Linked DNA regions of Daphnia pulex. The protein of the gene in region 3 purifies or fractionates together with the protein of the main gene of each other region. This does not show direct contact. Links are inferred from orthologs where the notes say so. Each region holds a gene or a part of one and is shown on either strand. Other genes may lie near its edges.

Region 1 (8,201 bases), on a different chromosome or scaffold from region 3:
ATACGTTAAAGATCTTTAAATCTGAAGTATAAATTAAAATTGCCACCAAGTTGAGATAAACAAATTTTTGGAAACTGGAATGAATTAGTCTATTTTGGCCGTTAGTTAACTTTAAAACGAAGTATAGACATGGTGTATAGAGTAGTCAGTAGTCCAGTGACGCGTACCGCCGACAAGGCAACGTCGTACTAGCTATAATATAGCCTCGAGTAATATTTTTTTCTTCTGTATTTTTCGAATGGACTAAGTCTAGTTTTAATCCTATACATTTTTTCCTACCCATTTTTTTAAGTGATACAAAATTAATTGGATTGCATATTAACCAGTCACAGCGCTTGATACATTCTGCTTCAGCTGGATAGGTGTGCACTTCCAAGTTTCAACGACGCAATCTACTAGCTGCAAGGGGGCAAGCTTAACAACGCGGTCTGGAGAATTGTGTAGTCATAGTTTTAGGTATTAGTTTTACCAGCAGAATTCGTATTCTCAGAGTCATGAGTCGTATGTTCGAGATTTCCAGCAAAAGGTATCAGCTAACCAAGTATTTTATCGATGAGTTCAACAGGAGCTTAAAAGCGGGAACATGGTGTTCAAGCTGACAAGTATCCAAGTATAGGGAGTAAGGGTGACGGAAGAAATAAAAAAGAAATGAACGAGTAAGACACATCCAGCTGCATGAATTCCACGAGTTTCACAATATTCCAACTGAAAATCAGGATTTAGATACGCTTCAAGGTAATAATGATTGTCATGTTAAGTATTGCCGTTTATTTTACCAATCATCGTGTTCAGATACAAATTGGAATGCCTTATTTAGTGCAGTTCCGTTGAGACCAGCACTCGCCGATTGCAAAATTGCCGAACAAATGCCAAATTATATTCTGATATAACTAAAACAGAAGTAAATCTGAAATTCAACTTCGGATTTCTTTCTCCCGTTTCACCGAGAAGATCCAAAAACACTTGGGGATGCTCGATGCGCTGGAAACCTATACCACAGCTACGAACTAAATAGTGTCCGGAATTACCGGAAGAGAGACTGCTGGATTGTGTGCGGCAGTTCAAGGAGCAACGGTCAGAGGCTAACCCTCTTTATGCCGCTGATTGGAAATCTTTTTGGAAAAGACATTGATCTCAAGGTACTCAATCGAAAGAATCTTTGTAAAATGACTTCATGCCAGATTGGATTAAGTACTGGAGAAATCGGATGAACGAACTTGACCTAGAAGAGGAAATCAAAACTCAGGAAACCACGCGGTTTAAACGCAACAAACACGAAAGCAATTCATATAACACGTTCACATACATTACTTTCCGTTCAGTTGGACTTTTAATCACCACTTTAAAAACCACTTTTTACGAAACCGACGAACTTAAAAATTATCACAATATAATTTGCAAATTAATAACTGGGAGCCGTGACTGAAACAATAACGAAGCACTAGAGGTACCACCAGTTGCCTTAACTTATCGGTTATCCATATCGATGAAACCTTTAGAATTATTTTTTTATATTATTGAGGCCTATAAAAACATAATGATTTAAGAAATAAGATAACTAGATAACAATACTAGTGACTAGTACTGTAACCTAACATATGTAATCTAACCTATGTAACCTAACACCAGAATAGTAAAATTTATCATAGTTTTGAAATTAAAATATGCACTATCCCAATTCAAGTATTTAATATTTATTAACTTCAACCTTAATCCTAGTAAAACCTCAAACTTTTCCTACGGTATTCCAACGTTCCACCAACTAGGTTGGGCTTACTGATCGCTGATTCTCCCTACAAAATCATTCTTAAAAATAAACGCTTCTTGCCTATTAAAGCTTCTGTTACGCTACATGTTGTTGAATCAGTATTCCAGTTTTAAAGTATGCACTCAACATAAGTGAAGTGCGTATCTTAGGATGTAGAAAAAAGACCAAACTAAAATGAAAAACTTAGTAAAAATGTATTGAAGACTGAGAACCCGATTGAGGGTATGCAGTTGGTGATAGGAGCCGGAGTTTACATTCTAATTAAGATACACGTAGAAAATTGGATGTGAATGAATCTCGAAGAATCACCATCAGTGTAAAATTAGCGAAAATGAAATAAAACCCTAATTGGTATTTTCAAACTTTTTCTCCTTTACTGCTATCGGCGCAAACCGGAACAGGGGAGCTTAATTCATGCGATGTAGATTTATCTTCTTCGGGTTCTGAAAATACATATAATTGGTAAGAAATCTGAGATAACCACGATTACGTGAACACTAACCTTTTATTTCATTCGCCATGGACAAAGCACTACCTTCACTAGAAGATTCACCACTAGACTTCAGTGTTGTCTCATTTTTCTTGTCCGAATCCTTTACAGTCTCTTTTGAAGTACCTTCCTTATTCTCGCCATTCACTTCTTTGTCCTCCTTTTCTTCCTTTTTGACCTCTGCAGCACCCTCAGCTGTTTCGGTTCTTGGTCTTTTGCGATTTGCTCCTTTAAATGATCTATATAGTAGAGAATAATGATTGAAAAAATGAAAAATTGCACGATTTATTAATGAATTCAGACCTTTGATCTCGGCGGGAATCCCCTTCATCTTCGGAATCACTGTATTCATTGTCTGGTGCAATCCTTTTATCTGATGCTCGTATAGATATACGTTCATCGGGATTAGATTTATCTTCTTCGTCGGAATCTTCGTTAATGGCATCCTCGGGAATTGCTGTCAGAATAATTTTGGATCAGTTAAACGCAATGCAATGAAATAATAAATACAATTGAAGAATTAAATTTAATGCAAGTACCTTGCATTTGGACTCCAGGAGCATGAGGTAACATGCGGAGGTTTTCGAAAAGACGAGTTCTAAGAAAAACATGTCACTCAACATATAATTCTTTGAATAAAACACTAAAAACTTACTTGATTTTATCTAAATATTCCGGAGTATTTTGATTTGCCATGTTAGACGGACTAATGTGCAATTTAAAATCGGGACCAAAATATTCAAAATAATCGTTGTAAGGGAGTTCATTTGCAATGTCATTTCCCAGTGCCACTGCGGTCTCGTAAGTCCAACAACGGGCAACATTTCGAATAGTGTAACCACCACCTCCAAGCAGCAGTAAAGGCAGATTATGTTTCTTAACAAAATCAACACATTTTGCGTGACCTAAAGACAACTTGATAATAACATGTATACTAAAAACAATAGTTCCGAACACATACCTTTCAAAGTAAGATTAAAGCATCCCAAACGATCACCAGACAAACTATCGGCACCGCATTGGAGAACCACTGCACTCGGCTGATAAGTTTCCATCACTTTTGACATGATAGGTACGAAGATTTGCTCATAGCTTTCATCATCTATTCCATCTCTCAGGGGGAAATTTACGGCATAATATTTTCCTTTGCCTGCACCAATGTCCTACAACAAAAGGATAAATAACAGTTTCTTATTCAAAATTTAGTTCAAAACTTCTTACTCTGAGATCTCCAGTTCCAGGAAAATATTCTCCATATTTGTGAAATGAAACAGTCATTACACGATCAGTAGTGTAAAAGGCTTCTTCCACTCCATCACCATGATGAATATCAATGTCAATATACAAAACACGTTGGTGGTATTTCAGAAGCTCTAAAATTGCCAACACTATGTCATTTACCTAAAATATGGAAAGAGATGAACATTAGTTAGTAAGTTATATCCAAAAACTGTTATTAAGTTATTCATTTACATAGCAGAATCCTGATGCCTCAGACTTTTTGGCATGATGTAATCCCCCAGCCCAGTTCACAGCTATCTCAGTTGCTTGCTTGTTGAGCTTCACAGCTCCAGCTACAGAACCTCCAGCAGATAATTGACAAAATTCGTAGAGCCCATCAAAAACAGGACAGTCTTCACCCACATTAACTAAAAAACAAACAAATAAATTAATTCACAATTTCAAATTGATCAAATTGTAAACACATCTTACATCTCTGCATCTGTTTATTGTATTCTGTCATATTGTCAGGTCTGATGCTTCGAAGAAATCGAATGTAATCATCACTGTGGAACTTGGTCATTTCTTCAGCTGTGGCTTTGTGTGGTCGCTAACAAAAAATAAATTCAATTAAACTGTGGCAATTATCATCTAGCTTCTTGAATTTTTACATAGATTTCCATTTTACGGTATAGCCCATAATTCAAGAGCAAGTTGTGGGTCATGCGTATGCGATGAGGTTTCATGGGATGTCCCTTCAATTTCAAAAATTTATTATTAATTACAGTTTCATTAACATAAATGTGTTCAATATTATTACCTGTCCATAATAAAAATTCCCGATGTCACCTAGGTTAATAAAAAAAGGAATTACAAATTTAAGAGTTAAAATGAAAAGTCACCATAAAAATGCCAACCCACCCACCAAGTAGGACGTCAATTATACCCCCGACAACCTCATCGACAAATTTGACATGAAAATCTTAATAAAATTTTGAAGCAATTCAAAAATAAAACCCAATTTAAATGATAATATAGCCACATATCTTTCTTTTTTAATACTATGTGCTCTTCAGTCTTCAAACATCTATAATTCTTTGTGATACTACTGTGCATAAATGACGTCCCACTTGCCAAATATTGTTACTTCCACATAAATTTTGTACATCAAAATGTCACAATAGATAGGTATATAAATTTAGCAAAAATCAAGTATCTTTGGGAATTTATAAAATAAATAGAATATGACCACTGAAATAATTAATTTAAAAAAGGACGCCGGCAGTCAAACACGCGACATGAAACGTTAATTATACATGATACAATTATTTTTCTAACTTACTGTCATAATAGTAGCAAACTCGCTTTCTGCTGTGACTTGGTTGAGTAGTCATTTTCGAAATTGAAAATCACAATTCTTTATTAAAATTATTTTTACTTTTCGACAGTTACACTGAAAAGAAAAGACACCAGCATCAATTGCTTTCGCTGCGTCGAATGCGAATGCTTACATTTACAGTGTTGCCAAATCTACAAACTAACTACGATAGCCCAAAGCCTCAAACGCGAATTTGAGGAAACATATTTGCCAGCTCTCAAAAAATCTCGAATCTCCTTCGATTCGAGTCGAGTCCTTACAAAACTATAAAAATGATGATAATAAGTGGAGGCAGAGTAATGGATAATTATCTGTTGCCCTGGTGGAGGAGTCAAGGTAAAGTATCACGTCAAACTAATTGCAAGAAGCAATTTTTCCATGAATGTTGTTGATAGGATTGAATATGTAATAATCAGTTTTCAGAAGTCGGAACCCTTCTGGGAAACATAATGTTTAATAAATATATTGGAATTTGATTTTTTTGGAAAACCCACACGAAACAAGTGATTTTCAAAATGAAAAAATTACGCAGTTATATTTTTTAAATCTTATATTATCAATTTCCAAATACGAAGGTATTTGAAATAAACATATTCTAGTAAATAATAAATTTAGAAATTAGGGATTAGGTTAGGGACTAAGGAGTATGGAACTAGAAACCAGAGCCATTAAGCTGGAGATCTAACGATCTATCAACTCCGTTAGACGTTTTCAGAGATAAGGAGATGGGCTCGCCGGAAGGAGCAGCGCAGTCGAATTCGTCTTCCGAGAAGGGGCAGGGGGAAAAATGTCGAAATCTTCGTTTTGGTTTCTTTTCTAAATAAGATTTGAAAAAGCCACCAGTCTTAGGTTGCGCCAAGCGGACAAAAAATAAAAATAAAAATTTTTGGCTGATGTAGGCTATTACAGATGTTATTCTTTCCTGGTCGGTCTGAAAAGAGCTGAATCTCTTTCCAGTCATCGATGGACGGGAAGATATAAAAAAATCTAGAAGAAGAAGAGAAAGAGGCAGATGACAGTTTACTTTTAGTCGCTAGAGCCTAGATGCCAGTTTCAACGCGCGCAGTTAAAATTGGTGAAATTCGACCGACCCACCATCTACTGTCGAAAAAGTAATCGAAGCCATCTATTGGCGAAATTGGAACTAATCCTCCCGTATGCCAAAAAACCTGTAGGGGAGACCGGACCCCTCTTGGACAGTCGCGGTTTTTCCCGCATATCTCCCGATCCCCTTAGGCAAAAGAATTTTTTTTTGGCTAAGGTCATTTTTTAGCCTTGCCTCCACCCCCTTGATTTTTTTAAAATGTGTAACTTTAAAATTTAAGAATTTACATTGATTTCCATTTTTCGGTGTTTTTTACCGAGCCGGGGTGAAATTAGACAGGGGCCTGTACCAAGTTAGACGGGGTTCGAAAAGGTGGAAATTAATGTCTTTAAATTATTTTAAAAACCTTGTATGATAGTTCTTCCAATAATAAATAATTTAAAAACATTTGTTTAAAAATTTTTTTACTCAAACAAACTTGGAGCAAGATCAATAATTCGGGCGAAAAATTTTGCAATAATTTATCGTGTTTTTTCTTCCTCCTATAACTCCCGTTCTACTCTCGGGAAATTAATTAAACTACACAGGATCTAGCATCATCACATCTAGAACAATGTGAAATCTAGAATTTTAAAGCAATTTTTACTATATTTTAAGACACTGTCCAACTTGGAACAGTGTCCAACATGGGTCCGGTCTCCCCTACAGAATCCCTACGGGAAATTCGTCTGTTTGGCTGCGTCCTGGTAAGTGTTGTCCCCCTATACCCTAACCACGGGCCTGCTGAGACCAACCACGCACCTACTTCTGTCATGCTTCTGCTCCCCCAAAAAACCCGTCGCCCCAGCATCATACGGGCCTCATGGGACTACGCGTTTCTTTATTTTATTGTTGCATGAAAGACATTTGTATTGATTCAAAGTCAATCCGCTTTTGAATCAATTCCTACATTTCAGCGGTCATTTCAAGTCGTTTCCCCACCCCTTCGAATCCAAAACCGATCCAAGGGGAGGGTTCCCCTCTAGTCTTTGTTCGAAATCCCCTTGCGGTGGTTTTTCTCGACAAGGGGAAACGGATTTTGAAGGGGTCGGTTTGCCAGATGATGCCCAATTATTATGACTTATTTAATTTAAGTTATTGTAGAAAAAGGACAGATATTTGACTTAAGAAAAACAAGAAAATTAAAATCGTATCACTAAGAAGTGTTCTAGTAGAAGTTAACACACGCCCAAACAAAGAAAAAAATCTTTCCGTTACAGCGTAAGATGCAATGCTATCATTAAATTTCCAAAACAAGTTTTTTATATTTTGGAAGTAATCAAGAAAAGATTGTATATTGGCTTAGCTTCAAGAAACCGAGTGAGCTCAACCTTCTTTTTGTTGGAAAATAGAATTCCCCTTGCTATTTTACATTAACCCAGAATAAATATCAGTAGGGTCATCAGGGGTTGTTGCCTTAGTAGAATCAGAGACGTCTAAATATGTTAGATGGATTTCAATCTTGCTGATGATTTGTTTCTTCAGTTTGGTATCTTTTTCGCTTGTCCCTAACCAAATCAATTTAAATTTTGGGTGTAGTGAGCCGACAACTGAAAATTCTCTTGCCTAAGAAAGATGTCAAATCTTTTTTTCAATCTTTCTAACAAGGCATCAACTAATGGGAGTGAAATACTAATAGGGGGATGGCTAGAGTTTTCATCTCGATTCTTGAGATTATTCAAACTATTCCCAATATCTACTATGGAAGGTAGTAGGTTTCCGGAAGTAACATCCTTCTCTCCCTGTAGAATGTCCAATCCAAATGCAATGGGCTGCATCACAGTAACATAATCATTAATGAATAAAGTAATCTGTAGCTGTCAGGCAGGGAACTTTCAAGTAGTCACAACTTTCAAGTCTTTTTTTTTCCATTTTTTGGCAATCTTATTTACGTGGCGAACAGCATCATACCATGCATTCCATCGTGTAGCATTGGGTATTATAAACAATACGCCTAAAGAAAAAATGAGATTCTCACAATTAAAATACAGCCTCGAGTCTCAATAAATCAATGTATTGTTGTACAAATCTATTCAGCCTCCAGTTCACACTCTCTATCATCACCTATATTTTTTGTATACCTAGTTGTGTTCATTTTTGTATACATATAAGCGCATTCAGTTAAGAGCTTGGCCGTATAAATCTCAGAATTGTCATGTGCGTGCCATAGTATTTGAAGCTTACGTTTCAGTATTTTGTATGTTTTTCTTTCTCTCCTTATTCCTTTCTTACATTATGCATCAGCTTTATTTCATTTTTT
Region 2 (7,917 bases), on a different chromosome or scaffold from region 3:
ACTTCTTCTCAGACAAATATCGAAGAGGAACAGCGTCAATTCGTAAATATCGACAAGAACAACGGACGCCAAAATCGTGCCTTGAGTCTATTAGTGACTGTTACATCGACGTCGACGTCCTTCTCCTTTTCCACGACCACGATCAAGAAAACTATTAATCTGAGCGGGCCAGCGCAATTGTCGTGCATGCCAAGTGGTTTCGCCTTGTGTTAGATATTTTAGACAGTTAAGACTTTGTCTCACTCTCTTTTTCTATTTTAGAAGCGAAAGTAATTGCATTTGCTTTTTAGTTATATTCCTTAGAATAATGTTTTTATTATTTATGCATTCATTTCTAACATCATTCAGCCTATAAAGTCGCCTATTCTGGACTTTTTCTTTCTAGTAAAAGGCCGCAAAACCTGATTGATAAAAATCAGTTTAGAAAATTGTGTTTTACCCTATTTTGTTTCATGTTCTTATTTTTAACTTAAATGCAATTTTCTTTTCAAACCTGGATCCACAAGGATTTTGGTTTGTTGTTATTGCCTTACCACACAAAATGTATACATGAGAATTTAGTTAAATAAATAATAGTGTTCATTATTATATGACTGAGTCACAGCAGTTAATAATCAGTGGTAGCGTGATTTAGTAATTAAACGGTTTCTCCTTCAATTTTCTGGTGATTTGGGTGTCTGCCTGTCTGGTTTTAAATCTCCCATGAATTATTCACGATATAATGCTTTAATTGCGTCATAAAGAAAGACATTTAATGGAAAACGACCATACGCAGACATATTATGCAAGAAGTAAACGGCATCCCAAAGTCGACAAGCGCTGCACTGCTGTTGATGTCACAATACATTGAACCTTACTAACTGCCAGGTTAATCGGTCGATGCTCGACGACTGATTCATTAGAAAATTAAGGTCGTTAACGGACCCTATCATTGTCTACTTGATGAACGGCGTCTGTTGAATAAATCACGATAGCCTTATACGCGTTCAAGTTCAGACTGTTATTGATTTTACCGAGAAACGGAAATCGGTTCATATCACGAAAGTTTACGAGCATTGTGTCTCAGGTCGCTGTGATGTATACTGGTTCTTTTCTCAGACATTTGAAAACCGTTTAAAATGTAATACTATATTGGTTTCGTGTATTAAGGAGATATCGTAGTGGATAGAAAAAAAACTTCGGGTATGGTGCATATCCATAGAGCGACAGCCAGCCATAAACCAGTGCCATAAAACGTTTCTGGTGGAAATTACCTGCACACTTTATATACCTTTAGGGGAAACATTTAGGGGAAAAGGTTTTCCCCTATACAACATATATGCGTCTTTGACTCTTTGTTCAGTTGACGCAGTAATAAGTGAAAAGGGGCGCCATGTTTTCCTCCGTTAATTTATGTTTACACAATATTTACAAAAGTAATTAAGAACCAAAAACGAAATGAATTGATTACCGTTATAAAAATCCTGTATTTGTTGCATCGTATACCGTCTACAAAGGAGAAAAGAACACCTTATACGCTTAATTATGAAATGTCACCCTCCACAACCACAAAGTAATAAAAGAATGTTAAAAGTGATCGAATAAAGTCAAAAGTCATTACTCGTTACAAAAGTGAATGATTGTGAATTGTTTTGAATGTCGTGACGAGCAGCAATATTCTTTTCTTTGATCGTTAATTGCTCATTCCGTAAATTTTGACGCGTTTTGCTTCACTCTATACGATGGATGGACAGTCTTTCTGAACAACCGGAACCAGATTGCCCGCCTTAAAAGGCCCGTTGGTAAAGAACCTGGAGGTGACTGTATTCATGACGGTGTCTGATAGCGTTTTCTGCTTACCCAAAAGCCACAATTGCTCTGCATTGAATTATAGATTCAGAAAATTAGCCATTGAATTAATTATTATCAAATGAGGGGATTACCTCGCCGATATCCAGTGCAAAGGGGATCGCAACTCCAGGCTAGAGCATAATTAGTGTAGTCAGTAGCGATAATCCAGAATCGAATGTCCACGGTTGCTGCACGAGAAATTTTGTTTACAATTGATTAATCTAGAAATGCTTTATTAATAATTTCAGAATTTCTTTGTCTTACCGTTCCAACTGACGATAGGCATCTGAACTAGAAATTTGCTCAATTCTCCGTAGTCAAAGTAAGCATTGCCCGCTGCAATCGTAACAGCGTTGTCTCTGTCAAAAATGTTAAATAAGATATTTCGGTTGAACATCATTTTGGGATGCCAGTCTCAGTCGATTCTCAAAACTTACATATTGCTAATTCCTTTGAAACTCATCTTGAGAGCTCCCTGTTTGGACGGTCTGATGTCAATCAGCGAGCACCTGGTGTCGTCCTCGAAAGTTGACGGATACCGGCTGATCTCGTACCACCGAGTAGTAATAAACTAGCGCACGTAAAAATTGCGTAACGACCACAACACACGGTAGAAATTACAAAATTAATATTATACCTGAGCTGGATTAAAGCTGGGCTGCGTTGGGTATTTGGGACAATCACCGGGAATTACAATCTGGCCCAAAACGAAGGACGGTATTTCGACTGTCAGTACAGCAGCCAGCAGCATCAGCGCACTAAGGTTCTTTGCCATTGTGATGTTTGATGTTTTTGTCCTGGCGTGTGTTCTTCGGATGACAAACACCGGCGGTCTAATCCACAACGACGAGCTGCGCGTATCTTTTATACACTAAGACAAGAAATTCACGCCTTGCGCACCTTGTATAACGTGATAACAAAAAAGAACGCTCCTAGCACTGGGTTAGTAACCGATGTGCCAACAAAGAACCCCGCTGCTTGTTTTTTGGAGGGGAGGATAGAGAAGATACGAGTGTGGTGGTGGTAGACTCTCCTCAGTGGGGCGTAATTGTTTCACGCAGGTCAACTCTTCGAGACCCTACCCTTCTCGTTTCTTATAGCGCTGGATATAATCAATTCCAGCATGCTGAAGAAGAAGAAGAAAAATATTCCTGCTTCTCGAATGCTATCGAAAGGCACGATCGTCCAGCCACTTGCTTCACAGATTTTTCAACGTGCTGCTGCAATCCGTCTCGTTCTTTGTGGCCGCGTCACGCCCGCTTCGGAGGTCGAGCTGAGCTGTTATTGCTGCCTCCCCGCTGAGCGCGAAAGGTTGATTCGGCTGGAAATGGGCATCCATGAATGCCACATGCAGCTTTTTTGGGGAGGGAAAAAACGAAATTCGTGTTTATTATGATTCAACCTTGAAAGTGGAAATTAAACCCTGGGGTTAAGAGACCAAGTCCCAGTACAGCACCGCGAGCCGTACGTAACACCACGCGTCAACGCGCTCGATCAAGGTCCCGCAAGGCCAAAGATCGGGTAAACAGCTCTGTCGTGAGTTATTTTACTTGTATACCCCGATTGAAAATAAGCATCATCCATCTCTTTGATGTTGGCTTCCTCCAACCGAAAATGCATATCTCAACGATGGCCAGCGCTCTTTCGATTAGGTGATTAATGGATCTATTCAGTCAGGAAAGTGACTTGACAACCAGCACCGATAGGCCCAGCACCGACTTGAAACGCAATTTCCGTGTTAGAGACTAAAACCGAAATTAATTATACAATGTATTGTCTGGAAAATTCGGTAAATACCTTTATTAACAGTTAAGCAACCCGTGGCTTTTCAATGCGTAAAAATAATTTTATGATGAGGTTTCATTGAAACAAAAAAATACAAAATCGATTTTTTAAAATTGAAAATCAGAAGAGATTAACGATGCCGGTATTTTCAATGAATTTTATTTCAGTCGTTTGCGGATATTGGAAAAAAATATTGCGCGCCTTTGTTTTGGGCGTTTGGGTAACTGCCCTTGAAAAACCGATGCGTCACGTTTTTGCAAGGCATATTTCAACTGACAAAAAAGCGAAAAAAACAAACAAACAAAAACATTATGAAAATGTGGAATCGATTTTCACATTTCGCGATCCATAAACATAACAAATGTTGGCGTTTTCTCAATCCCAATACGGGGTCCAACCATCCAGACGGACCTTGGCCGAACACGGTGTTGAGGATGCTGCTGGAGTCTTCGTCATGCTCAACCTCAAGCGCTTTAATTGCGTTTTCAAGGTTGAATAATAAATAACATCGGTCCTCTACACTTATTCACGGGTAGGAGAGGAACTTTTTTACTGCCGCATGATGCCCACACCCAGCTGAAGACGATAGATGTTTACCTGCTGCTTGCTGGCGGGCCAGTGTGAGCCGAACAATGTTGATTCACGGTCAAGACGGATATGCTGTTGGCTTCTAAATCCAAACATCACAGATTAGAAATCCGAGTTCAAAGAAAACAGTCGAACATGTACAAATACAAAATCACGAATAATTAGAACAGTCGGGAATTAGGCAATTTACTGTTATTTAGCTTTCGAAATCTAATGATTGCGTCATAGGGTCAGGCGATCAAGAGTCGAATTTTGTTCTGAATAAGAGCGTCTTTCAACCATTTATTGAAATTTCATCACAACCCACTTAATGGACTGCAAATGGACTAGTAACCTAATTAACGGCAGTAATTAGAATAATTCAAATTGAACCAAATCGCGGAAAGCTATTTATTGAATACACAAACTTGGATCTCCAAGCGATGTAAGGGCCAAATTCGAAGATTTGAATGTTAAAAAAAAGATGAGCGTGTACGTGGGACAGTAAAGAATCAAACGATGAGAAATAGGGTATAGGGCGATACACTGGAAATGCATTAATTAGTAGGGGTTTCCAGTTCTGAGGCTGGCGTCTCAGGCTCCTCGTCGTTGTAAATATTTTCAGCCATTTGCCAAACTTGCATGATGTTATCCTCAGAGACGGAGCAGATGACCCAGGGCTCATTCGGGTTCCAGGAGAAATCAGAGATCTTGGCCGTATGACCACCGTGAATGAACTGTTGAGAATTCAATAATTAAACAGCATCCGAATCAAACAATCGCATCAATATTTCAACTTACCAACAATTCTGGAGGGCCATCTTCGGCATCTTCGGTGGATTGTTCTTCTCCAATTTTGGACAAGTCCCAGACATGCAAGCGTCGGTCGGTGCCAGACGAAGCCAAAATAGTCTCATTATGCGGTGACCATTGGACTTGAAAGATTTCATCCTTGTGCGACTCGAACGAATGTAATTTGAGTTTAAGATTTCTCAAATCCCAAAGAGCTACAGTCTAGAAATACAATTTGGAGACATGTTTAGTTGAGTAGAATAAATAGTAGATTTTAATATTAAATGAATACTTTGTCTGCAGATCCGGTAGCTAAAATAAATTCGGAGTAAGGATTGAATGACAGACAGTTCACTTCAGCCGTATGAGCATCCACGGTATGGGAGGGCCGGCTGGTGTTATTGCTGCGAGTATCCCAAATCATAAGCTTCTGATCATCGGCAACGGAACCAAACAAGGACTCGTGAAGCAAGTGCCAAGCGACATCTTCTACAACTGCTGTGTGGCCAGTGAATACGGTTTTGGCGTCGAGAACACGATTCTCTCTCGGCGATGCGTTAATATCCCACAAGCAAATGGTGTGGTCATCAGATGCTGACAGCAAGTGACCATTAAGGTTTGGATTCCAAGACAAACCGTAACCTTCCTTCTGGTGTCCTCTCAGACTAAAAAAAGATAATGTAGTTGTGAGTAACAAGTTTAGGTCATAAGAAATCATTTGAATAAAAAATGACTCACCGTAAATCAGGGTGGCACTCTCCACTAGGATCAGGGCGAGAAGGATGTTTTGTGTAGTCAAAGACCAAGACGTCAGATGAAGGTGTTTTAGTGGCAATCACACAAGGATTCTGGGGCATGTAGCGAGCCCTGTTGACTTCTCCTTCATGGTTGATCTTGATCTCAATTTCAATCTTACCACTCACTGATCCAAAGCCTCCAAACTCTGATAGAGATGAAGCATTAAAACAATAGTGCAACAGATTTGATCAAGTTAAATGACTACCTCCTTTATCATTGTCATAATGTGAAGCATCAAACTGAGCATCCTCATTAGGAAGCTGGACAGATGCAATCAAGAGGTGATTTTGTTCATCGCTAGTGTGAGTACCAAGGATGAGACGATGCACTGAGTAGTCTTTGCCTTCAGGCCTAACGGAGAAAAGAAACATTCAACAGTTAGAAAGAAACAATAAAACACCTTTGTTCTCAGTAATTTACCTTGTAACATCAGGAAGCCATTGAGCTGTAAGTGAAGGCCATTCCAGAGCATGTGTCATAACCAAATCATACAAAAATGGAGTATTTTTCTTCCAAATTTTGTATTCCTCGTTGATGACGCGTTCTTCCACTGCTTCATCAAAGGGCTCTAAAAAAGATTGGATTAAATTTCACTGTCATCCAATAACAAAGAATGATTTCAACAGATACCTCCATCTTTATCTGCCATCGTTAGTCAATCAAGTCCTTTACTAATGATGAACCGGCTGGAACCTGTCAAGCAATAGATTCGGTTAGCAGAGACTTTTGAGCGTGCTGCTTTGTTAAATGGCGGCAAAAACGAAAGCAATTCCAGTGGTGCCACTTTGGAAAAAGTCGAAACTACTTCAATAGTTTATTTTGCCGTTCATAGATGGCATGGTCATGTCTTTAAAGAAAAAAATCTTGAAAATAATAAAATTGTTGTCAAATTAAAAGAATTTGCCTACTTCAAAAGTCTGATTTAAAAATTAAATTTAATTAGTAATAATTAAAAACAATATTTAGGTAGGCCATGGGTGTTGAGAGATTTGTATGCCTGTGGGTAGGTCTAGGAAAAAATCTTCATGTAAGGCAGTGTAAGGCATAAAAACAGTTATATTGTTATAGGAATACAGTTATTTTTTCTAGAAAAAAATATTTGCTTTCAAAAATATATCAATGCTTAATTCCACAAAATTTTAATGGTTTTCCGATGCCCAATATGATTTTAACTTTTTCTCAAGCTTTTTCTGTTGCGCATAATTAATTTCATAGTGGTTTAGCGCTAGATGCCAAAACAATGGAAGGAAATTTGAAGGTGCTTCACCTTTGTTGTCAAGGTTAAAGTGATCTACCTGTTACAATGTAAAGGCGATTGGCGCTCTAGGAAATGGTTCACAGTAAATCATGAAGAAAGCCTCCTCCGGCCATCCGTTAAACAATGTAATATTTTCCGTCATCAGACAATCAAACCGATATTTGAACTAGAAGATAGCAAGACGAGTAAACCACTTCAAAATTCTCTTTCATTGCACAGTGTATTTTTTGCCATAAATTTAATTGAGTTCAGTATAGAAGTTGTACAGCGTTAATAGGATTATTTTTTACTGCGTCTAAGAAAAATTAATGATTTGAAAACACCGTCATTTCTTTCCATTCCTTCATAACGTATTTATTGGATTAAAATTTTCTGCTATCACAACATTCACTAAAGGCTAATAACGTAGTGCTTCAACCAAATGAAATATATATATATATATATTTCGCCGAGCATTACGTGTAGTATGAGGAGTATGAGGAATATGAGGAGTAATAATGGATGGAAATGCCGGTTGAGATATTATCATAACAATGGTCCAAAATTGAAGTCAACTTCTGTTCTCATTTCAAAAGAGATATTCCACAATTTAAGTTAGCTGTTGGCCTTCCGTTCATTTGAACAATAATTCATTGTAGATTCGATCGGACCCAATATATTCATCATCATCATTCATCCAGCATGGTACGATATAAGCTTTTGCACGAAAGACACCCATACACCATATTAACCACGTTAAAGCATCAGAGTTATGTTAAAAAAAGAAGAAACAAATATGGTTCAACCAAAAGTTGGATAAACAAAAATTTTGGTTTTGGTCTTGGTTGCTGCAGCTAAGGAAAAACTATTTAAGAAACTGATAAAAGCGGTTGTTTTTAGCGCAATGA
Region 3 (8,330 bases):
GGCAGATGGGCACAAGTTCGATATTGGTGTTTATACGATCATTACGTCAATCGAACCACTTAGAGTCTATATCTATGATGGTGACATCCTATTTCGGTATTAAAAGTTTTCCTACCTCCGCCGAAAGATTTAACGAGGTTAACCCGGTTAACCCCTCGTTAAATTATTAATTTTTAAAAATTTCTTTGAATCACGATTTCAGATTTTGTCCAGAAAAATACCATCCTTTTGATGTTAAGAAAATCGATAAATATGTAATTGGAGATGACTATTTACCAATATGGAACGTTTCGTCATTGAAACCGTATTATTCAGGTTTGGGATTCGGTATGAAGGAGTCTTTTAATGCCTACCTTCTCAGCATAGGTACGCTTGTACGGCTTGGCAAGGACATTAAAAAAAAAAATTTCTTGTTTCTCAATGAATTTATACATTTTTAAAAATGAATTTATCTGATAAAAGGTAAAGATCCTAAAATCATTTGGCAGCAAATTGATGATGCGATTCGAACAATGCTGTTGAGACGAGAATTATCCTTGGCATCGGCAAGTTCCAAATTTGCGTCATCTCGTAATTTTTTCGAAATGATTCGAGTGGATTTCGTTGTGGACGAAGATCTCAACGTCTTCATTATGGAAGTATGACTTTAGAAACCGTGAATAATTATTGATTATTAAATTTACAAATTAATATTCCAGGCGAACATGTCACCAAATTTGTCGTCTCAACACTTCCCTCCAAACAGGCTAATGTATGAACAGGTCATCTTCAATGTATTGAAACTGATCGGTATTATTCCTTCTGGATATCCAAATTCAGTCGGGTAAAAAAATAGCTTTGACATTTTCTTATTTCTTCATGGTTTTTAATGTCTTAACTAAATAATTTTTGGGAATTAGAACTGACGATGAACTACTATCGCAGCCCGAAGTGGCGTTTAAAGATTTAGTCGTATTTCCCGAGCGGTGTGCGGCCTCCCGTTGTGCCAATTGTTCCAGTCTTGAATGTAAGCTTTGCAAGCCTTGTCTGACTGAATCATTGAAATCTGATTTGACAGAGGCCTTCAAAGAACACACCCGTCGACATGTATGCCGTCGCGTTGTTCCACCGTCGTTGGTAAGCAGTGCTTATTAGGTCAATCAATTGTTATTTTTGAAATGAGTTCTCTTAAAATTGTCCCGTTGTCATTATTTAGATGCCGGAAGAAATAGAGGAAGGTGTGGACGTTAAAGGTCTAACCGAGATTAACCAACTAATGCATTCCTGGTTTCATGGCAAGTGTCTCTTAGATAGTTCTTGGTGTTAAAATGTAAGGCTAAATTTCAACGTCGTTATAGCCATCTACTGTCCATTTTTACCGTGGTGTAGCAGTTTGATATACTGAATAGATACATTATATGGCTATGCAAATAAAGAAAATTCCTGGTGAATCCTTCCATCCGTCGCAAATCCGTGATCTTACTATTCCTGAAAGATACGATTTCACTTTTCAGCACTCGAGGCGCTAGTTAATTTATTTGTTGTAAAACAGGGTCCTCTACCGAGATTTTATGTAATCATTAGGAACTAACTTCTGTCAACGTCAACGAAATTTGGTAAACCATGGTAAACAATAAACTTATTTGTTAGCGTTTCGTCAAAAAAATGTTTTGACTGAATATTCATGTAAGATTTAATGGTCTTGTGTTCGTGCTTGACTTGCATACATTTTTACTCTCCAATCAATGTTTAGGTACGTAGTTTTTGTAATTTAAGTAATAAACACAGGAAAATAATAATGTCATTCTGCGCTTGTTTTTGAATAGATCATCATTGCTCTATCAAATCGAATAGAACACACATCATCACTGTAAGCACCGGGAGATTTTAGTTGTTTTTAAAAAACCGTTTCTATGGATGAGTTCACTTTCAAAACACAAAATGGGACAGAAGGAGTTGAAATTATCAACTTGAGTTTCAGCAAAATACCCATCTTAAGAAGTCAAACCCAAATACATTTTTCTAGCAGATTTAACAACAAATCTGATATTTGGATAGAAAAATCTATTAAGTTGATATGGAATGAAAAATGTAAAAATAATGATAGGTTATACAATCAATCAAAATTTCGATTTGAAGGTATAACAATTGATGATGATAACCAAGTTGTTTTTAATCTGGGACTAACAACTTACATGGAGTTAATAGGAACAAATTGCAATCCATTTGGGAAGGAGTTAGTTGCGTACGGAACTCGGTGTTTTAACAATAAGCGGTCGTGCTTAGCTGACCCATTGGGTGTAGGATCTCTGTTGTTAACTTCAGATGGCAAATTTCTGTTCTTGAAACGTGCTATGTGGACTGGTGAGGACAAAGGCAAACTAGATAGGCCTGGTGGTCACCCTGAACCAGATAATGTGTCAACATCTATACAGTCTTGGACAGAAGAAGAATGCACTGCTCCAGAAAACTCGCTTCGAATTCGAGAAGAGGTTTTCGACTCGGTTAAATGTGAAATTCGCGATGAAGTTAATTTACCACTGGAATCATTAAAGGACCCTCTACTGTTAGGAGTAGTTCGAAGCCTCGAACGACTTGGGCGGCCGAGTGCTGAATTTCTTGTGCTGTGAGTGCATTTTTAAGAGTTAATTGTCTCACATTTTAAAATAAAATTCTGATCATATATTTGCAGTTGCTCTTTGACATCTAAAGAAGTAGAAAATCTCTATTTGAAGAGTTGTCAAGCAGAAGCTGACGAATCGGTAGATATTGTGTTTCTACCGGAAGAGAAGGTTCGTGGATTGGATTTGGATCAGAGTATCTGGCACAGCCTTACTGATGCAGCTTGTGGAGCAATAAAACTCTACAGTCAATGTTACTCGAGCTGCCCAAGTTAGCCGTTATTTGGAACCTGAGTGAAACTGTTTATTTTAAGAATTATGAACCAATCTCAGTTCATGTTACACACATATATATTATAAATAATAAATACATTTTGAAGTACCCGACAACATTTATTAGATTATTCTTACTATTTGCAGGGGTATGCTATTTGGGTGAAAAACGCACTGCACTATAGTGCAGGCATATATGCCTGCTTAGTGCTAACACCACCTACAACAGCAGGTGCGCAATTGAAATCTTTAATTTTAACTTAAAACGGCCAGAGGGAAAGAGAGATAACTGCGCAAATAAATTAAAGCAATAAAATGAAACCAGTGTTTATCTTATTTTTATTTTATCTTTAAGCTCTCCGAAATTCAGAAGAATCTAAAGAGATACTTCAGAACGTACCCGGTTTTGAGTTCAAATATCTAAATTCGAGTAAGCACATTTATAAAATGCATTGTGCTGTTTTAATCATATCTCAGCTACCTGCACTGTCAATTCCTCGAAAAATTTAAATTCCGGTAAAAAAAATAGAAATATATTAAATTCCTTTTGCTATTTTTACCAATGATTTGTCGTTATAAAAATTTTGATTTCAAGCCATACAAGAACAATTATTTTTCAAGTTACTAGGAAATAACGTTAAAAATCTAGGATACATTTCATTTCTTAACAATCTGCAATCTGGAGCGCGAGCGCGCTTGGCGCTTGTGAAAAATCGAGTTTGGTTTGTTTGGTTGGTTCAGAGAAGGGTTCAGCGTCCATCTAAGATCCGTAGTGCAATTAAACGCCACCCCTAGCGGCAGCTTGGTGCAACTGAAGACACTTGTACCAAGTTGCTTGTACGACCAGAGTTTTTCACTATTCATGATAATTTGACTATATTAAGCACTTTTTGTTGTGAATTACACTAAGTGACGAAGTTTTCTACTGGAAAATGACAACTAATATGTATCGAGTGGGGGGTAAGTGTCTTTATCATATAAGAAATGCCAATGACATACGCCGGGTAACATGTCAAGACTCGGCGCGATGAACAACATTGGTTCGACCGAGTGATATTTATTTATTAATGTGTTGTTAATTTCAGACTATGTCTACTTTGAGACTGCACCCTCCATGCCTTATCAAATTCGAAGGATTGAAGAGTTAAATAAGGTAGGAAGTCAGTGTAATCTTCTTTCACCTGTCAGATAGTATTATTTTGTGTCTATTTAGACATCAAGCGGTAATGTGGAAGCCAAAGTTATGTGCTATTTTCGACGAAGGGACATACCTGCTACCCTGCTTTCCCTTGCTGATAAACATCAAGGTGAGCTTATTAGTTTAACAAATTTAAATAATTACTTGATCTCAAAATGAATTTTTATTAGAATTTGTTGATGGTGGAGTAAATGAAAATAATGGTAATGGTACAGCTAAAACCGATCCAATCAGCTCTCCTGCAAAAGCTGTCACATCACCTACATCAAATGCTGATGGTGCATCTGCTGATCCTGATCCTGCAGTCAAGATGGAAACAGAATCAGATGGTGACAATACTTCAAGCAAAAAGGAAGAAGAAAAAACTACCTCTGTAGTTGAAATTAAAACAGAGAAAGAAGCAGTTGAAAAGGTTGAAGAGAAAGAGCCAGTAGATGAAGAGTTGAATTTGAAACAAAAAAATCAGCTTAATCAAAGAGAATTGTTCCTTTCAAAACAAGTTGAAATTCTTCCAGCAACAAATATTCGTGGAAAATGCAGTGTTACCCTCCTTAATGAGACTGAATCATTTTCGTCTTACATTGACAAAGAGGTATTATACTATTATTAATTCTCATTATGATCAACCACTTTCTAAGTTCCAACAATTAAATTTTAGGACGCATTTTTTTATACATTGGTGTACGATCCAGTGCAGCGAACTCTGCTAGCTGATCGTGGAGAAATCCGCGTTGGTTCCCGGTTTCAGGCAGAGATCACCCCTCTTATGAAAGAAGGTCAATAACTTTACCTGGTGATTATATTCGTAAGAAATACTAACATATATGTCAATACAGGTACTACAGACGGTCGCAACATGGAAGAATTAGAAGTCTTAACGTGGACCCCTGAACACGGGTTATCAGATCGTGAAATAGATCAGTTCCTGGTTGTTGCGAGATCAGTGGGAACATTCGCCCGAGCATTAGATTGTTCTTCTTCTGTCAAACAACCCAGCTTACACATGAGTGCAGCTGCTGCTTCAAGAGATATAACTTTGGTATGTGAACTATGAACCATTTTGAAATTCAAATATTCTTTGCATCTTAATTTTTTTTTAAATTTTAGTTCCATGCCATGGATGCACTACACCAGTCAGAATATGATTTAGGCAAAGCAACGTGCGCTCTCATTCCCCCAACTGGTCCTATTTTATGTCGTGATCAAATGGAAGAGTGGTCCGCCTCTGAAGCAAATCTTTTTGAAGAAGCAATGGGTAATATCGGATTTCTGATGTGTTCCGATTATTTAGTTTACTCACTATCATTTATTTGGTGTTATCACAGAGAAATACGGAAAAGATTTTAATGATGTTCGCCAAGATTTTTTGAATTGGAAAGTCCCGTCCAGCTTAATCGAATACTATTATTTATGGAAAACTACTGATCGCTACGTTCAACAAAAAAGAGTGAAGGCTGTCGAAGCTGAATCAAAACTAAAACAAGTCTACATACCTACATAGTAAGCAATACCAGTACCATACAAATAATTTATTGCATTCGAAACATCTTTTTTGTTTGAATTATTTTTAGTAACAAACCTCATCCCGCTGCAATTGGTCCACCTCTTCCGCAATCATCGAAGAACGGAGCTCACCAAATCGAAATTGGTTTGGGTCCGGGCAAATTTTGTGAATGTTGCGCAGGTAACTCCAATTACAATCGTTTTCGGTCCGGCTTTTTAACTGTTAACACATTTCGTTTTCCAGTTGCAACTTCGGTTCAATGGTACGCATGGAGTCCAAATAATACTGCCTCGTCTGCCGTTCCACCACAAAGCAGATTGTGCCAATCGTGTTGGTCCTATTGGAAAAAGTACGGGGATCTCACCGTATCGAATAAGGCAGCCTTGCCTGCTTCATCCGACGAAGAGTCCAAGAACTTGAGTGGTGGTCCTGAAGCCCTGACATCACGTCCACATCGTTGCACAACTCAAGGATGTGGAAAGGTAGGCCAGCTTCTAAAAAAATGGAGATTTTAGTTCTCCCTTCGAAGTTATACATAACATTTTTGTGTGAATTGGGGAATTATTTGATCTAATATGCACAATTTTTCTTTGGCTCGTGGTCTACCGTTTCCTTCGATTATCCTCGTTCATCGTAGACTCGAACTGCTTTTTATTTGGGTAACATTGATTCTTAATTATAAATTGATAATAGATCTAATTGTTTTCTTTAAAATTCTATACAGCTGTAACACCTACAACGCGGCTGGCTCGAAGGTTTTCTGCTCACTTGTTGCGACCTCGTCATGCTGCACGATTCCCTTTCCTTCCTATCAGCGCTGCAGCGATCCGACAGGATTGTAAGTTAATCTCAGAGTCCCCGAAAGAAAGCTTTTGGTGAAACTATTGGTTTCTTTTAACCTTGTAGTCCAAATGCGTATGGCTCGAAAGTCACCTGCAGAAGTGCAATCTTGGATGTTGCGTGCCCAGAAACCGCTGGCACCGATTCGTCCTCCCAAACGTATACGCGTCGCCGACTTGACTTTCCGATTGGCTCGTGGTCAGATCCTTCCCACTACGGCTACCTGGCTCATTCTGCCTGATCGTTCCTTGCCCAAACCCAAGCTGATGCGTGAAGCTTTTCCAAAGCCTCCAAAAGCCGCCGGTAGAATGATTTAAACAAAACAAATTTGTAATTTGTTTCATAAACTAACTTGTTGGTTTGGCTCCAACGTAGACGGTAGCCTCATTTACGATAAGATCGTCTTACCGCAGCGTGACGGAGACCGACTTAAAAGGCGTCTGGATGACTCACCTTTGGAAGGTAAGTTTTCCAATTTCATTAAGCTGAAACATTTATGAGGACACAGTTATTTTCAATTTCATGTGTTTTCTTAATTTTTGTCTTAAGGTCCTCCCTTCAAACGATCTGCTCGTGAGAGTCCCAGCAATGTTTCTCCACTCTCCGTTTTGGCTCCACTGTCTGGTCTGGCCATGGGAATGAGCGGAAGTCCAACGCCCATCAACGCATCTCCATTTCTACCCAACTTATCTAGCATTTCATCTCTACCAATATCTTCATTGCGACCTAATATTCCGTCAGAGCTCTATGTCTCTGCTTTGACTAATTCTAGCGGTCTTGCTCCCTTATTGCCTGGAACTAAGGGCACTCCGTCACCGTCTTCCGCTATCTCGCCGACAGTAAAGCCCAGTTTGCTTCCGTCCGCTCCGCAGTCACTTACCGCACCCAACCTACTGGCCGGAAGAGGTGCTCGCAGCCATGGATCACGCGGCGGGCTTCATGGGCATTCGGGCGGAAGAATCAAGCAGTTGCCCACATGGATGGATGCACCTGATGACCTCTTTTTCCATTCGACTCAAGTTACCAAGTGAGTGAGACGTAGCCCGATAGTAAGTTGAATAGCCGAGATAACCCCTCCGAGCTCTAGTCATCTAGCATCTGTCACCTGGCGTTTGGGATTTTTATCGCTTGTCTGCATAGTCTGGTTAAAATTTACATTTTCTTCTTGTCGATTACAGGAAACTTCGACGCCAGTTGGCCACACAAGAACTCCGGCGGGCTGCACGCAAACCGTGGCGACCATTGACCCCTCGTAAAGCCTGAACAACCCCCTTCGTCTCCCTCCCTCCCACCCCCACCCCCTTTTTTTGCTGTAATGCATCTCCCTTATCACCCTACATTTGCCTGCCGTTTTCAATTGTTGTAATCTCTTTCCCCTCCCTGATGAATCAAATGGGTCGGCCTCTTTACGAAAACTGGCGTCATGATATACTCGACACAAACTTCTTTTTAACAAATTGCTTCATCATTACATGTAGCATCATCATTACATTCGTGTCTTTTTCTTTTCGTTGCAGATTTGTTGACGTTTTTATGGAAATTGAAAATTCCTGACTGACGTTGCCTCCTGTTATCTTCAATCCGTTTTTTATCGTTTATTTCGGAAATCTTTTCCAGTATGGGGCTGATGGGTGTGTCCATCGTAAAGATAAGATGATGGCCGTAGTGGAAGCTGGGACCCTTTATCAGTAGTGTGGTTGCCGCTTAGCAGTGGTGGTCCTGGCATTGGTAGGTTTACGGTGGTTTGTTTATTGGCGGAGCACACACTTGTCCGAGCAAAAGACCTAAGCTTCTTTCCATTCGCCTGTCAGTCGTTTTCAAGAGTTGAAATATAGCTGCAATGAATTCCTCCCATTAAAATGCTGAGGCAAGGGGGGTTTGGCCCGTTGTGGCATTTGTTTCGGTCGGCTCGGGA
Region 4 (6,628 bases), on a different chromosome or scaffold from region 3:
TGAAATTTGAGAAGTTAAGTATCTCAGCCTTTTGAAAACAATATCATAAATCAAACGAACTCACCTTCTCTTGACGTGAGGTAGTATAGATTTCCATATTAAGTATTGAGGGATTGACAAGAGGTTTGCAACTTGTTCGGGATCAGTCATATATTTCCCGAGTAACAGAGGAAGAGTTGGTATGAAATGTTCAGTAAGTCGTACACGGCGACCTTGGGTTTGTTTGGTTTCTTTGACGGTAGGAATCTGTAATAATAATAATTCATATGAAAATCTCCACTACTACATGTTGTATGTTTACATGATAAGCACATTAAAAATAATTAATCGGTTACCTTTCTCATAGACCCTCGACCTGCAGGTGGTTCTCCAGTCGCAACTTGTTTAAATCAGCACACAATTTATCAGTCTTGGATTACAGCATTCTCTCGTCGGTTTTCAGTTTCACCAATGGAGTCCATGATCAGTAGCGAAGGATCACCCTGTAAGCAGAATGAACATTTATTTGGATGACAATAATATTCAAAGAAGATTGTAGCGACAAAAAGCAATACCTCAAATCAAGAGGGACTGTGTAAGGAGCTAAATAGGGAGATTCAAGGGTAGCAGCCATTGGGTTAGCAAAAAGGGACCTTGTTGACTTTCTTGAAAGAACATTACTTTTCATAAAGTCTGTCATGCAAATTTAGGAACCTTCAGGTTGCTGTAAATGAAAAAAAAAAAAAACATTTAAAAAAGAAGTAAAAGAATAATTAAACAGTTTTAAGTATATACTCACGCAATATTTTTCTCGCCAAAATCATCATCTCGTCCAAGGAAACGCCATCACACATCGCGAACAGCCAAAAATCTAAGAGTAAAACTCCATGCTGTGTTGAGAGCAGGGTAGTAGAAGCCGGTTGGGTAGTCGAATGATGCTGGTCGCCTAAATGATGTTCATGTAGGCCGCATCTTCTCGGTCATTACCTAAATGGCTAAATCAAGCTAAACAAAATGTAAACAAAATTTAAATTCAGTGACATGACAATGAAGTTACACAGAATAACACCAATCAGCTTTCCTAAGCAATCCAGAAGATGGAATGAGTCAAGTTCAATGACAAAGTGAATGATCCGCATTGAACGTGTGATTGCCTTATTTTGGAGGGATAACCATATGCCCCACATTTGGTCTTATAGGCAACATCTAAATAAGAAACCAAACAATCGTTAAAATTGCTATTAGTATGACAACTTCTCTAAATTCAATGTAAACACAACTTACAATGATGATAGCATGATCGCAATATTTAACCTCTTTGTTTGTTGTTGACAAATAGGGAGATTCATGGGTAGCAGCCAACGGGTTAGCAAATAAGAAATCTTGTTGACTGTAAGTCCTTTTCTTGGAAGGACATAACTTCTCATATAGTCAGTCATGCCAATTTAGAAACCTGTAAATAAAACCAAAACAGCCGATAATTAAGATTAATCCTAATAAAACATGAGAAGAGTATATGTTTTAGCATGAAATAAAGCTAGTGTTGGTTTTCACCTGTATCATTTTGATTACACAGTAGAATACAATGAGTTTGAACAAAATAGTTGACGGTGGGTTGCACGACTTTCACGTTTACTCTGACCACAGACTACGAATGTAAAGACTAAAGACTGTAAAGAGTAAAGACGGAAATCCCCTATAACTCTCTCTAGGCGATACTTGAGCTTGCCGCTAGGGCGCAGGTCAATAGAATTGGAGAATGTTTTTTAGGTATTTTCCCCGTTTCCCTACTGATTACGTGCTTCACAAACACGGCCCACACGGGATTTGCGAATGTTCTTTTAGGTGGTGCAATAATAATGGTGCAATTTTAAAAAAATTGCACCATTATTATCCATTGCCCTTCACGATGACCCGTGAATTATTTCATAATTTTTGAAGAATTTGAGGGTTAGTTTTAAAAAAAAAAACTACACTAACCCTCGAGTTCTTTAAATTATACGTGAACCTTAGCCGACGTTCACTTATACACTCGAACGTGGGCCATCACATCACGAATGTGGGCAATGGCGGCCTGCCGGCCACGATCATCAACCTTGCTTCCTTGCTGGCCTGAATGTCCGGCACCCTTCTAGGCAGTATTATAATCTCTGCTCATGAAGAAACGAACTCACTGTCACACAATACATCCTGTGATACGAAAGATTTGACGTTACCTGCGATTTAAGATTCTCGTGTTTCCATTGTTTACAAACCACACATTCGGAAATGAGTTGATCTTCAAAAACTAAAAAGGGAAATCATATACGTAATAATACTTTCTTGTTTTACATACTGATTACACCTGATTTTCCAAGAATACCGACTGCGCAGGAAATCTGACGGATATTTGAATTCCTTGTATCACAATCACATAACCCAGTAGAGCCACGAGTTTCCTGAAATGAACAACAGCAACGTAAGGCAATATTTGTTTGTTTGTGTGTGGATTTAAACAACACTTCATCCTGTTCCTACAAAGACAATTAAAGTTGAAGGTTCATTATTAGTTTTATTCTTACGATCCGCAGATATGAAGGTTATCATTCAAGGAAGTCAACGCTTTGCCAACACAAATGGAACAATCATGTGAAACAGAGAACATGGTTTGAATGAGTCCGGACACAATGGCAAAATTAGAAAAAAAATTTAATGAAGAGAATTATAGTCATAAATACAGTGAAAGAAGCGGCGATTACGAGAATCAAATCAAAAGACGTTGGGAGGGAGGGAGGGAGGTATCGAGCAGAAAAAGACAGCACAGTCGTCAGGGTAGAGGGCAGGAATGTTTTGAGCAGCCAATTAACTCCTTAATGAAAAATGGAAGAAAAAGGGGGAGGGGGAGGTGAAGTGAGAAAGTGTGTTATGCAAGTTATACTATAAAAAAAAGCTATCTGAAGAAATGTCTATTTGCTATCAGAGCCAGGAGGAGAAGTTCCAGGGAACGCTGCCTGAGGGACGCCGGCTGCGGCTGCCGCAGCAGCGGCGGCAGCAGCTGCAGTCATTGCCAAATTGGATGTCGGAGTCTGACCGGGGAGAGTAAACTGTGGCCGGAAATTGGCCAGATTTAGCCCAGTGAAAGGCATCTGACCGCCCGTCAAGCCAGGTGGAAAGTGGTTCCCAAAAGCAGCTTGTGCTTGCTGTTGGGCGGCTTGTTGGCTTGCAGAGGTAGCGAGACGAGACAAAATTGATCGTTCGGACATCTGAAGACGTTGCGCTACAGGTGGAATTCTAGCCAAAGTAGCAGGTAGACGCGACACATCGGATTTCATGTCCGAGAGAAGCTCTTCCAATTGATTCAGAACCTTATGCAATACCGCGTTGGCTGGCTTGTTACCTAAGAAGAAAAAAACAAAAATTCGGTAGAAAAAAGTCACAGGTGGAAATTTGAACAGAAAAACCATTTTTACCTGCAAGACTTTCCTTAGAGAGATGTTGATGGGATTCGGCCAGGCATTCCACTTCGGCGAAGCGAGCATTAAGTGCCATGGCAGGATGGGTTGAATCCTGCGTCAAATTGAGGTAGGCTGCTCTTCGCAATTGCTCTTCAATAACCAAAGCCTGTTCTAATAGCTTGAAGCGTCGGGCCAAAAACTTATTTTTTATTTCCAAGAAATTGCCTTTACCGACGTCCATCTTGAAGGGTTCGTTGATAATGGCATAACGAACGTCGTTCTGAATATCTTGCCATCTCCCATAACCGTGTGTAACGATGCCGGCTAAGAGCCAATAGTCATGGCGCCGATGCCAAATTTCGTACTCTCTGCCTGGAACAGCTGCTTTTTCTTCGTTCTGCCACAAGGTGTGAAGTTCGGTGAAGCCTCCATCTGCTATGTTAAACATGAATTTACGCTTGCTACGCTCTTCTTTAGCAAGTTCTTTATCCTTGGCTTTTTCTTCTGCTGACTTTTCTTCTTTCACAGAGACGATTTTTTCCACCTCCACTTCGGAAGAATCAATTTTTTCTTCAGCCTTGGTCTCTTTTTTGGCCTTTTCCTCGCTCTTGATCTCCTTTTTGCTTTCATCTTCCACTTTGATGGTCTTCGAATTTTCTTCATCAACTTCCATAGTTTCGGAAGGTTCTGATTTAGATTTTTCCTCCTCTTTCTTTTCCTTTTCGTCTACGTGATTTGATTTCTCATCGTTTTCTTTCTTAATATCGACCTCCTTTTTATCATCTGCCTCTGCTTTGTCTTCTCCGTCTCTTTTCTTGGTTTCTTCATTCGTGGTTGTAGTAGGAGATGGACAAGCTGTAGATGGCGCTGAGACGGCCGGGGTAGCAGAACTGCTTTCGCCCGATGGAGCCTGAGAAGTTGTTACTTTATCTTCAATGGCTTTGTCCTTGGCAGCGACCAGCTCAGCAGCCCGAGCCGCAACTTCAGGCATACTGTAAAGTCCGTTAATATGTTCGAATTCATGCACCTTTTTGCGAATCAGTGACATGACACCGATTCGCGTCAAAACGTGTTGTCGGTTTAGTCCCTCTCGTGGTACTCCGTCAGCAAAAGTTTCGGCATTATCAGCACCAGGCTCACAAAGATGACGCATGAAGAGTGAAACGTAAGCCTTGAAATTGCGTTCAGACTTGCCCCGCAAATCACGTACCAACCTATCACAATAACAACGTTAATATGGCTAATTATCTGAATATGAAAAGACACTTGCCATTGAGTGTTGAAAGCATCTTGAGGAGGCATTCCGTAGCGCATGACAGCATTCAAGAAAGCTTTGCGTTGTCGAGCATTGAACCCCAAGACCTAATATTTAAAAAAAAAGTTTAACGGCATGATCACAAAAAAATTAGCAAATCATGATAAAATGAAGGCGAGAGCCTTTAGCGTCAATTACAACTCAAATAAAACACTCCATGATCTCGCCAAATTATTTTCTGTAGCCCTCAAAATACCTCGGCAGCTGTGGTCCTTCAACGCCACCGTATTTTTTAAACTTTTGAATGGGCATTTACAAAAAGACATGAAAAAAGTTAGCAATTTACCTCCATGTTGCCACCAACTCTGGCAAGAAGAGGAGGTAAAGGACGATCTTTTTCATCGCGACGCTCGGTGCCTTTGCGGCGGCGACCACGGCCAGGCTCATCTCCCCGATCATCAAAGTCATCATCTTCTTTATCATCGTCGGATGCTCCCGAAAAATCAGAGTTGTAGTCCGATACGTTTTCTTGCCAAGAAGTATCGTCACGTCCCTCAACACCGTCATTGTAGTTAACCTAACGTTCCAAGAAAAAAAAATTACGTAAAGGAAACGTGTCATTTAAATGGCTGAAAAATAGTCACCTGTTTTCGTACACGCTTTCCTTTACCAAGAGATCTAGCAAGATCCTCTTGTTGTTGTTCGTAGTGATGACGGAGAAGCTTCTCCCAGTAAGCAGGGTCGGTATTTTCTGCTTCTTGCTTAATAATTTCAGTATCCTGATCCTCTTCATCATCTCCTTCTTTCGTGACGTAGGATGCCACCTTGAAAGAGGATAAGTAATCGTTGGCCCAACTCTCTTTTTGCTCTATGCCCTCATTTGAGCGATCAACTAGCTGATTGATGGCTTCATCGTCATAATGGATGGCTTCATCCTCCTTGCCTTCTTCTTCTTTGAAAAGTTCTTCCGTACCAAACCTAAGGATATCATCAAGTTCTTGTTTGGAAAATGTTCCCTTGGCTCCCATTCCAGGGCGGACGACCAAATGAGTCAACATCATCTTCTTCTTTGCCACCTGTGTTACTCTTTCTTCGACTGAATTACGAGTAACGAATCGATAGATCATGACCTAAATACAAAACAAAATAATGAAATGACATTTTTAAACTAAAGAACTATTATCAGTACCTTGTTGGCTTGTCCAATACGATGGGCTCGTGAAAAAGCCTGAATATCGTTGTGGGGATTCCAATCGGAATCGTAGATTACGACAGTATCAGCCGTCGCCAAGTTAATACCCAGACCACCTGCTCGTGTGGACAGCAAAAACACAAACTGCGGGGCTCCGGGAGCATTGAAGCGATCGATGGCATCCTGACGCAAAGTACCGGTAATTCCACCATCAATGCGCTCATATTTGTACTGCTCTCCCTCTAGAAAGTCTTCTAAAATGTCCAACATTTTTGTCATCTGTGAGAAAATGAGGACACGATGCCCCTGTTCTTTCAATACTCGAAGCATTTTTGAGAGCAAGACAAGCTTTCCTGAGGCTTTCACCAAAGCGGTGGTCTCGTACATGCCATTTTGTAAACAAGGTGCTTCTTGAGATGCAACTGGGAAAAGGTATGGATGGTTGCAACACTTCTTCAAGTCCATCATAATGTTGAGCAACGAGACTTGTTGACCGCCAGATCGGGAATTGAGGGCTTCAAAGTTACGTGTCAGAACATACTTGTAGTACTTCTTCTGCATAGGCGACAATTCAACTCGAACGATGAATTCGGATTTCGTTGGCATGTTCTTCAAGACGTCGGCTTTAAGACGACGCAACATGTGCGGGCCGAGCATATCGTGCAGGCGTTTCACTTGCTCTTCCTTTGCTAGATCAGCAAACTCGTTTGTGAAGGCCAACAGATCGTTAAATTTATCTGGGCACAGAAAATTGAGCAAGTGAAACAA

What was found.
Region 1: the proteins of metastasis-associated protein MTA3-like (region 3) and histone deacetylase 1-like fractionate together in Drosophila melanogaster (co-fractionation; 3 studies listed by BioGRID, with this or other methods). This does not show direct contact. The link is inferred for Daphnia pulex from reciprocal best matches to the Drosophila melanogaster genes MTA1-like and HDAC1.
Region 2: the proteins of metastasis-associated protein MTA3-like (region 3) and chromatin assembly factor 1 p55 subunit purify together in Drosophila melanogaster (affinity purification with western blotting; 4 studies listed by BioGRID, with this or other methods). This does not show direct contact. The link is inferred for Daphnia pulex from reciprocal best matches to the Drosophila melanogaster genes MTA1-like and Caf1-55.
Region 4: the proteins of metastasis-associated protein MTA3-like (region 3) and chromodomain-helicase-DNA-binding protein Mi-2 homolog fractionate together in Drosophila melanogaster (co-fractionation; 3 studies listed by BioGRID, with this or other methods). This does not show direct contact. The link is inferred for Daphnia pulex from reciprocal best matches to the Drosophila melanogaster genes MTA1-like and Mi-2.

Annotation. Positions count from the first base shown.
Region 1 is NC_060024.1:1,147,820-1,156,020, reverse strand, and holds histone deacetylase 1-like, read right to left. Parts: upstream 5,014-8,201; 5' UTR 4,874-5,013; coding exon 4,822-4,873; intron 4,329-4,821; coding exon 4,300-4,328; intron 4,235-4,299; coding exon 4,151-4,234; intron 4,090-4,150; coding exon 3,972-4,089; intron 3,908-3,971; coding exon 3,732-3,907; intron 3,660-3,731; coding exon 3,480-3,659; intron 3,422-3,479; coding exon 3,220-3,421; intron 3,164-3,219; coding exon 2,914-3,163; intron 2,857-2,913; coding exon 2,798-2,856; intron 2,716-2,797; coding exon 2,562-2,715; intron 2,498-2,561; coding exon 2,271-2,497; intron 2,212-2,270; coding exon 2,126-2,211; 3' UTR 1,944-2,125; downstream 1-1,943. Other genes in the region: ribosome biogenesis protein WDR12 homolog, read left to right, coding at 1-32. UniProt on the Drosophila melanogaster protein: Catalyzes the deacetylation of lysine residues on the N-terminal part of the core histones (H2A, H2B, H3 and H4).
Region 2 is NC_060023.1:6,452,103-6,460,019, forward strand, and holds chromatin assembly factor 1 p55 subunit, read right to left. Parts: upstream 6,560-7,917; 5' UTR 6,422-6,559; coding exon 6,403-6,421; intron 6,341-6,402; coding exon 6,193-6,340; intron 6,124-6,192; coding exon 5,978-6,123; intron 5,918-5,977; coding exon 5,713-5,917; intron 5,640-5,712; coding exon 5,267-5,639; intron 5,197-5,266; coding exon 4,984-5,196; intron 4,920-4,983; coding exon 4,740-4,919; 3' UTR 4,580-4,739; downstream 1-4,579. Other genes in the region: uncharacterized protein LOC124197707, read left to right, coding at 1-213; apolipoprotein D-like, read right to left, coding at 1,715-1,857, 1,923-2,018, 2,095-2,189, 2,268-2,401, 2,468-2,605. UniProt on the Drosophila melanogaster protein: Core histone-binding subunit that may target chromatin assembly factors, chromatin remodeling factors and histone deacetylases to their histone substrates in a manner that is regulated by nucleosomal DNA.
Region 3 is NC_060020.1:5,941,227-5,949,556, forward strand, and holds metastasis-associated protein MTA3-like, read left to right. Parts: upstream 1-3,633; 5' UTR 3,634-3,805; coding exon 3,806-3,833; intron 3,834-3,958; coding exon 3,959-4,026; intron 4,027-4,086; coding exon 4,087-4,180; intron 4,181-4,241; coding exon 4,242-4,663; intron 4,664-4,729; coding exon 4,730-4,847; intron 4,848-4,907; coding exon 4,908-5,110; intron 5,111-5,178; coding exon 5,179-5,326; intron 5,327-5,396; coding exon 5,397-5,571; intron 5,572-5,642; coding exon 5,643-5,755; intron 5,756-5,818; coding exon 5,819-6,057; intron 6,058-6,212; coding exon 6,213-6,234; intron 6,235-6,299; coding exon 6,300-6,413; intron 6,414-6,481; coding exon 6,482-6,718; intron 6,719-6,790; coding exon 6,791-6,877; intron 6,878-6,964; coding exon 6,965-7,442; intron 7,443-7,593; coding exon 7,594-7,678; 3' UTR 7,679-7,904; downstream 7,905-8,330. Other genes in the region: probable tubulin polyglutamylase ttll-15, read left to right, coding at 6-96, 203-366, 463-638, 699-823, 900-1,116, 1,196-1,306; uridine diphosphate glucose pyrophosphatase NUDT22-like, read left to right, coding at 2,334-2,605, 2,672-2,876.
Region 4 is NC_060018.1:5,943,936-5,950,563, reverse strand, and holds the end of chromodomain-helicase-DNA-binding protein Mi-2 homolog, read right to left. Parts: coding exon 5,858-6,628; intron 5,799-5,857; coding exon 5,313-5,798; intron 5,246-5,312; coding exon 5,015-5,245; intron 4,776-5,014; coding exon 4,684-4,775; intron 4,628-4,683; coding exon 3,429-4,627; intron 3,356-3,428; coding exon 2,925-3,355; 3' UTR 2,511-2,924; downstream 1-2,510. Other genes in the region: phenylalanine--tRNA ligase alpha subunit A-like, read left to right, coding at 3,059-3,108. UniProt on the Drosophila melanogaster protein: ATP-dependent chromatin-remodeling factor which acts in nucleosome-remodeling by catalyzing ATP-dependent nucleosome mobilization. Involved in regulating transcription. Plays a vital role in development.